2 linked regions of the Struthio camelus genome follow. The protein of the gene in region 1 binds, or shares a complex with, the protein of each later gene. Links are inferred from orthologs where the notes say so. Each region holds a gene or a part of one and is shown in the gene's direction. Other genes may lie near its edges.

The links.
Region 2: MMS19 (region 1) and CIAO1 share a complex: the UniProt entries of both Homo sapiens proteins name them as parts of the MMXD complex. The link is inferred for Struthio camelus from reciprocal best matches to the Homo sapiens genes MMS19 and CIAO1.

Annotation. Positions count from the first base shown.
Region 1 is NC_090948.1:17,004,196-17,008,091, reverse strand, and holds the start of MMS19 (MMS19 nucleotide excision repair protein homolog), read left to right. Parts: upstream 1-981; 5' UTR 982-1,014; coding exon 1,015-1,129; intron 1,130-3,896. Other genes in the region: UBTD1 (ubiquitin domain-containing protein 1), read right to left, coding at 747-906. UniProt on the Homo sapiens protein: Key component of the cytosolic iron-sulfur protein assembly (CIA) complex, a multiprotein complex that mediates the incorporation of iron-sulfur cluster into apoproteins specifically involved in DNA metabolism and genomic integrity.
Region 2 is NC_090968.1:1,352,671-1,356,566, reverse strand, and holds CIAO1 (probable cytosolic iron-sulfur protein assembly protein CIAO1), read left to right. Parts: upstream 1-874; 5' UTR 875-936; coding exon 937-1,075; intron 1,076-1,563; coding exon 1,564-1,712; intron 1,713-1,791; coding exon 1,792-1,903; intron 1,904-1,992; coding exon 1,993-2,081; intron 2,082-2,368; coding exon 2,369-2,570; intron 2,571-2,910; coding exon 2,911-2,998; intron 2,999-3,104; coding exon 3,105-3,345; 3' UTR 3,346-3,779; downstream 3,780-3,896. Other genes in the region: TMEM127 (transmembrane protein 127), read right to left, coding at 575-818. UniProt on the Homo sapiens protein: Key component of the cytosolic iron-sulfur protein assembly (CIA) complex, a multiprotein complex that mediates the incorporation of iron-sulfur cluster into extramitochondrial Fe/S proteins.

The DNA of each region.
Region 1 (3,896 bases):
CCCGCGGCACCGGCCACGGCGCTGCCGCCGGCGTCCCCGCCGCGGGCCCGCCCGGTGCCGTGAGCGGGGGGCGACGGCTGAGCCCCGCGGGGCGGGCAGGGCTGCGGGGACGGGCCGCTGCCGGGGAGCCCACGGCCGGGCTCGGCGGCGCCCGCCCCATCCCGGGGCCGCGCACCGCACCGGGTCCCCCGGGGCGGGGGGGGGGAGGCACGGACGAGGCACTCCCGGGTGCCCACGGACCGGACCCCCGCCGGTGCCCACGGACACCCCCAAGAGCGCACAAAATTAGACCCCAAACCGGTGCCCGCGGACCACGCGGGGGTGCCCCCCCCCGGTGCCCGCGCCGCCGGGGCGCACGGCCGGCCCCGCTCACCTGCTCGCTTGCGGGGGTTGCCGGCGGCGGGCCGCTCCCGGCGCTGCCGCCCCACGCAGCCGCCCATGGCCGGGCTCAGGGGCGGCGGCGGCGGCGCGGGCGGCGGCGGCGCGGGGCGCTCGGCATGGGGCCGGGCCGGGCCGGCTCCGCGCTGCGCCCGACCGCGGGGCCCGGCGCCGTGCAGCCGCGCCGCCGGGCTCTGAGCGCCGGGGCCGCCCCGCCGCCGGAGACACCCCGCGCTCCGCCCTCCCCAGGTGTGCATGTGACCGCCCCCGCGGCGCCCGGGCCCGAGCTGGGGCCCAGCACGGCCCGCTCCGCCCCGCCCCGCCCCGCCCGCGCCGGGACCCCCGACCGCCACCGGCACCGGCACCACCTTGCGGGCGGCGCCGCCCACGTGGGCGCGCCCACTCGCACGACGCTTTTGTCCCATCCGACGCGCCGTACGTGGGGGTAGGGGGGCCGGCCCCCCCCCTTGGGGCCCCACGGTTCGCCCTCCGGGGTGGGGGGGGGGGGCGAGCTCCAGCCGCGCGCATGCGTTATAGGCCCCTCCCCCACGCGCGCGAGGGCGGGGGGCGGCCGCGGCGCGGCGCATGCGCGCGGCCGGGCGCGCCGGCGGCTCGCTGTCCTCAGCGCGGAGTGTCATGGCGGCGGCCGGGGCCGGGGCCGGGGCCGGGGCCGGGGCCGGGTTGCTCGCCGCCTTCGTCCAGGACTTCGTGGCCGGGCAGCAGGACGCGCGCGCCGCTGAGGTGGCGGCAGGTACCGGGCGGCGGAGCGGGGCAGGGCGGGGCGGGGCGGGGCGTGTAGGGTGGGATGGGGCCGGGCCTGGGGTGTGGGGCGGGGGTGTGGTGGGGCCGGGCACGGCAGTGGGGCCGGGTATCTCATGGGGCTGTGGGGCGGGCTGTGAGGCAGGGCAGCGGCAGAGGCATGGCCATGGAGCTGGGGGGGGCAGGCTGTGGGGCAGGGCAATGGCAGGGCCATGGACCTGTGAGGCAGGGCATGGCCGTGGGCATGGGGCTGTGGGGCAGGGCAGGGGCAGAGGAATGGCCATGGAGCTGTGGGACAGGCTGTGGGGCAGGGCCTGGCCGTGGCCATGGCCATGGGGCTGTGGGGCGGGCTGTGGGGCAGGGCAGTGGCATGGCCATGGAGCTGTGGGGCAGGGCATGGCCGTGGGCATGGGGCTGTGGGGCAGGGGCAGGGGCAGAGGCATGGCCATGGAGCTGTGGGGCAGGCTGTGGGGCAGGGCCTGGCCGTGGCCATGGCCATGGGGCTGTGGGGCGGGCTGTGGGGCAGGGCAGTGGCATGGCCATGGAGCTGTGGGGCAGGGCATGGCCGTGGGCATGGGGCTGTGGGGCAGGGCAGGGGCAGAGGCATGGCCATGGAGCTGTGGGGCAGGCTGTGGGGCAGGGCATGGCTGTGGCCATGGGGCAGTGGGGTGGGCTGTGGGGCAAGGCAGTGGCATGGCCATGGAGCTGTGGGGCAGGCTGTGCGGTGGGGCAGGGTGTGGCCGTGGGCATGGGGCTGTGGGGTGGGCTGTGGGGCCATGGGGCTGTGGGGTAGAGCATGGGACAGAGTATGAAGATACGGCGCAGTGTGTGGGGCAGAGCACAGTTATAGTTATTTGATGAGATATGGGGTAGAGCATGGAGGTGTGAGGCTGGGCAGGAAAGGTCATGGCTGTGAGTTGTGGGGCAAAGCATGAGGCTGTGGGCAAGGTGTAGGGTTATGGGCATGGTGGTGGGACAGGATATGGAGCGTGGCTCTGGGGCAGGGCACAGGGCAGTCGGGCAGATCATGTGGCATACCTATGGAGCTGTGGGGCAGGGAACGGAGGCGTGCGCCTAAGGCTGTGGGGTGGGACAGGGCCGTTTTGGGGACAGGGAACGGATGTTTCGGCATAGCCAAGTGAACATGGAGCTGCAGGGAGGATAGGGCAGGGCATGGGATGTAGCCACGGGGCAGGACACTGGCTTTTGGACGTGGCCATGGAGCAGAGCAAAATACAGGTGCAGGACTGTGGGGTAGGATCTGGCATTGGGATGGTCATGGGGTAGAGCAGGGCGTGGGGACAGGATGCTGCTGTGGGGAATGGGATACAGGGAGCCGTGGGGTGCTGGGCAAAGAAAGTGCCGTGGGATATGGCAGTAGAGAGCAGCGGGGGCTGTGGGCTACAGGGCAGTGCTGCAGGATGGATGCCAGTCAAAGAATAGGGTGGGGGCCTGAATTTGGGGGTGGGAAACAGCTGTGAGATGAGTGTTGACAGGGGATGCAAGGGATTAGGGACTGTGGGGTAGATGTGGGGCAGCAGCAAGAGTAGGGAGCTCTAGGAGTAAGGTGGGCACGGATTTTGGGCAGATGCAGGGCTGTTCAGAGCTGAGGTGAATGCAGAGTTGTGCGATCTGTGAGGCTGATCAGGATTTTGGAAGGCTAGCCTACAGCATGGGCTGGGATTGCAGGGGGGCAGTGCAGGGGGGGCTGGCCTGGAGTGGAGAGTGACACTTTCGGGCAGGGGGATGTGGTGTGGGGATGTGTGAGGCTATGAACCGTGGCACTGGAGGTGCGGGGCGCAGGGGGAGCTGCAGGATGGTCCTGGGTACGGCTGCCTGGGAGGTGGAGGTTGGCCACCTGCGGGGAGGAAGCCCCTGGCCTTGCCTTTCACCAGGTAGAAAGCTGGTGTGCTGGCTTCTCCTGCCCCTAGTTCTGGGGCTCAGGGTCTGGCTGCCCTTTCTGTGGTTTCTCCTCCTTTCCTGGCTGGGCTTGAGGCATTTGACTTCCTTGGATAATTTGCCTTTCCGCTTGGAGCAGCAATTTGGTGACTTTGTTACATTAGGGAATTTGCAGCTTCAGGAACATGGCTTTTTAAGGATAAGGCAGAGCATTCGTGTTTCTAGGCAGTGGCTTCTGTGTGTTTGGAAAGGATTTGAGAGAGCAGAGGAGTACATAGGCTGCATTATACCGCAGGGTAGCTAACAGACCCTTCCCAAGGGGGTAAACTGTTCAGTGGTATCTTGGTGAAGAGATGAGCTGGCAAAACTGGCAGATGACCCAATGGTCCATGTAATGCATGATGAAGAAGACGCCAAGGAAATTTGGAGGAATTCACTAAACTGTATGACATTCAAGATGTTGCAAAAGAGTTGCACAAAGCCTCCAACATGTTTGCGATAGACGGGGGGGAAGATAACCTTACAATTGCTCTTGTCATCTATGGTCATGTTACAGAAGTGCCCTGAGAAAGCTTTGCCTCTTCAAAAGCATACAAAGAGATAGGCTGCTCCCCCCACAGCTCTCATCAGCCGTATGGTGCTTGTGATAAACCTACCTTGACAAGCAAGTGAGCCAGCGAGTGTCCTTTGGCCCCTCTGACCTTTCATAGAATCATACATCAGAAAATATTAAATTGCATCACATCTCCTTGAGCAAAAGGGGAGGTTTTTCTAACCTCGTGGCCTTCGTGCGGTTGTTGGAAAAACATGTTGAGCTTCTTGCATGTGTTGCTGAGTACTAAATTAACTGCAACTTGGCA
Region 2 (3,896 bases), on another chromosome or scaffold:
TGGCGTCACAGGTTGCAGAAACTCACACCTTGGTGGCACCCGGAAGTCCCGACTGGTCTATCTGCCTCGCTGAGTGGCTTCAACAGCAGGAAATTACAGCCTAGGTCTTCCCTAGAGCTGCCAAACCAACTATTAAGCTCACCGCGAGAGAAAAAGACCCCGCAGGCCCGCTCGAGAAGTCGGAAAAAGCTAAAAGCTTCGGCGCGACGCGGCCCGCTTGGCGATTCACGGCTCCCAAGCCACGAGGCCGGGAGCTCCCTCGACGCCCTCTGTGAAAACGGACCGCTCCCGAAACGCCGCGCGGAGCCGCCGGCCCGGGAAGGGTGGAACAGAGAGGCCGAGGCGCGACGGACGGACGAGGCAGACGGAGGGGCGACAGCGCGGAGAAACCGCCGCGCGGCCCCCGTCTCCTCCGGACGCCGCCGCCCAGCGGAGCGGGCCGCGTCGGGGCGAAGCGGGGCGGCCGAGGCCGCTGAGAAGGGAATTTAAGGGGGGGGGGGTCGAGGGGCCAAGGCCCAGAATTGGGGGGGGTCACCCCAAAAGGCAGGGCCGGGGCTCCTGGCTGCGGCCTCACCTCGCAGCAGCTCGGGGTCGACGTAGCCCAGGACGTCGGCGACGCCGAGCTCCTGGCGGGCGCAGGTGCCGCCGTGGATGCGGAGCCAGGCGGGCTCGGCCAGCGCCGTGCACAGCGCCGTGATGGAGAGGGCGCCGGGCAGCGCCGAGGCCAGGCTCCGCTCGGGCTGCTTGGGCAGGCCGCCGCCCGCCGCGCCCCGCCGCCGCCGCCCGCCGGGCAGCCCCGGCCCGCCGGGGGTGTACATGGCGCCGCTCCCCGCCGCCGCCGCCTCCCCCCCGCTGCCCCTCGCCGGCCGCCGTCGCTTCCGCTTCCGCCCGCGCCTGACGTCACCGCGCGGCGCCGGGAGCGGGAGCGGCGGCGCCATGAAGGAGGCGCTGTCGCTGCTGTGCCGCCGGCCGGCCCACCCCGACTCCCGCTGCTGGTACCTGGCCTGGAGCCCCGGCGGCTCCTTGCTGGCCTCCTGCGGCGGCGACCGCGTCGTCCGCCTCTGGGGCAGGGAAGGTGGGCGGCGGCGCCGGGCGGGAGGGGCGGGGCGGGGCTAGAGGGAGGGGCTGTGATGAAGGGGCGGGGCTAGAGGGAATGTGAGGGTGGGGTAGAGGGACTGTAAGGGGGGCTGAGAGGAAGGGGCGGGGCTAGAGGGACTGGAAAGGAGGGGCTGTGAGGGGGTGTGGCTAGAAGGGCTGCGAGGAGGGGGCGGGGCTAGAGCGGGCTGTGAGGGGTTGCGAGGGAGGGGGCGGGTCTAGAGGGGGCTGCAAGGAGGGGGCGGGGCTAGAGGGGCTGCAAGGAGGGGGCGGGGCTAGAGAGGGCTGCAAGGAGGGGGCGGGGCTAGAGAGGGCTGGGAGGGGCTGCGAGGGAGGGGGCGGGGCTAGAGGGGCTGGGAGGGAGGGGGCGGGGCGAGAAGGGCCGGGAGGGAGGGGCATGCCAGAGGGGGCGGGGCCGGGGGGACCCCAGGCCGGAGGGGGAAGCTAGCGGGCGCCCGGTGCCCGCAGGGCCCGGCTGGGCCTGCCGCGCCGTGCTGGGCGACGGGCACCAGCGCACGGTGCGCAAGGTGGCCTGGTCGCCCTGCGGCACCTACCTGGCCTCGGCCAGCTTCGACGCCACCACCTGCATCTGGAAGAAGCAGCCGGACGGCTTCGAGGTGAGGGCGGCGCGGGCGGGCGGGCGGGCAGGGGGCCGCCGGGCCGGCCGCCGCTCACTCTCCCCTCTTCCTCGGGCAGTGCGTCACCACCTTGGAGGGACACGAGAACGAGGTGAAGTCGGTGGCCTGGGCGCCCTCCGGTAACCTCCTGGCCACGTGCAGCCGCGACAAGAGCGTGTGGGTGTGGGAAGGTGAGAGGCAAGGCCCACGCTCTCCCTCCGCCTCGCGGCCCGGCCCGGCGCCTCGCTCCTTCGCTTTACAGCGAGCTTTCTCCGTGCAGTGGACGAAGAGGAGGAGTACGAGTGCGTGAGCGTCCTCAACTCCCACACGCAGGACGTCAAGCACGTGGTGTGGCACCCAAACCAGGAGGTAAGAGCTTTTCCCCCTCCACCATCTGTTGCTTTTCCGGGGCTGAGGAAATCCCAGAAACTCGCTGCGAACGCGCCCGCGGGGTGGCTGTTTCTGACCAGCTGCGCCAAGCTTGGGAGAAAAAGATGAAGCAGGGACGAAGCGGCCCCGTCTCTGAGCCTTTCCGGCCTGGAGGGACGCCAACGCCCTGCCCGCGAAAGCCGGGCTCTCCCAGGGAGAAAGAGGGCCTCGCGCTGAGCCTTTCCGTGCAGCATCCGTATTTCTTTCTTTTCTCTGCCCTCCCTCAGCTGTTGGCCTCGGCCAGCTACGACGACACGGTGAAGCTCTACCACGAAGAGGAGGACGACTGGGTGTGCTGCGCCACGCTGGAGGGCCACGAATCCACCGTGTGGAGCGTGGCTTTCGACCGGAGCGGCGAGCGCCTGGCTTCCTGCAGCGACGACAAGACGGTGCGCATCTGGCGCCAGTACAAGCCGGGCAACGAGGAAGGTGAGCGCGCCGAGAGCTGCTCTCGCCCCGTCTCGCGCTCGCCGCGGCGAGGTGGTGACAGCTGAGCTGGTTCTAACCTGCAGCGGAAAACGGTTCCCTGCCTGGGGAACCGTTTTCCCTTTATGCAGCATGACAGAGGCGGCTGGAGGTGAAAGACTGGTGCCGTTAATGGATTTGGCACACGGTCCAAGCGTTTACGTTGATGTCAACTTGCATTTCATGAGCTTGCTTATACTGGAGACCCTGCGGTGCCCACAGCACCTGGCAGGGTTGCTCACCGCTGCAATTTGCCCCTTCCCACCTGACAGCGGATTTTAGGTTATTCTCTCTTGCCTCCCAGGGGTGGCCTGCAGCGGTGCTGACCCCACCTGGAAGTGTATTTGCAACCTCTCGGGCTTCCACACAAGGACCATCTACGACGTGGCATGGTGAGTGGGCTGCTGCTGCGCCGGTTCTCCTTTGCGGGGCTGGGTCAAGGGTGCTCTTCCCTCTCCCGATGGCTTTCGGTGACCCGTTGCACTGCCTCTGCTCTAGGTGCCACCTGACCGGAGCGTTGGCGACGGCTTGCGGCGACGACGCCATCCGGGTGTTCGAGGAGAGCTCGCCCACGGCCTCGCAGCAGCCCACTTTCAGCCTCGCCGCTCACGTGCCCCGGGCGCACTCGCAGGACGTCAACTGCGTGGCCTGGAACCCCAAGGAGCCGGGCTTGCTGGCCTCCTGCAGCGACGACGGGGAGATCGCCTTCTGGAAGTACCAGCGGCCCGAAGTTTGCTGAGCCGCTCAACCCCCTGCCCTGAGGCACCACTGCTTGTCCCAGGTACCGCCGCGGCCCCGACCCAGCAGCAGGCGCGTTTCGGCTCTCGAGCCGACGCGAACACCCTCCTCGGCGCAGAGAGCGGGACAGGAGACGATAACCAACCTCCTCGCCCTGCGCTGCTCCGGAAATTGGACTTCTGTCCCCTCACCAAACCGCTCTGAATGAACGCGGCAGACGGTGAATTTTTTGTTGAGTCTCGTGGGTGACTCCAAGCCTGCAAGGCCGTGGGGTCCCACCCAGTGGCACCGGCCTCCCTGATGACGCACGCGATAGCGCAACTCTTCAGAGGCTTTGGGAGATGGTGCAGGCTGTCATGTCCTGCCTCCCTGTGCAGACATGCACGCCCTGTACTCCTGCCCCAAGCTCAATAAACCTGTGCTGGCCTGGTAGAAGACTGTGGCTCTTCCTTTCAGTGCGCGCGCTGTTTCCTTGACACTAGCACGACCCTCGCCGGCACAGACGTCGTGCCTGTTGCTCTCGGGGGTGAGCAGCCTTGCAGAACAGGCCCC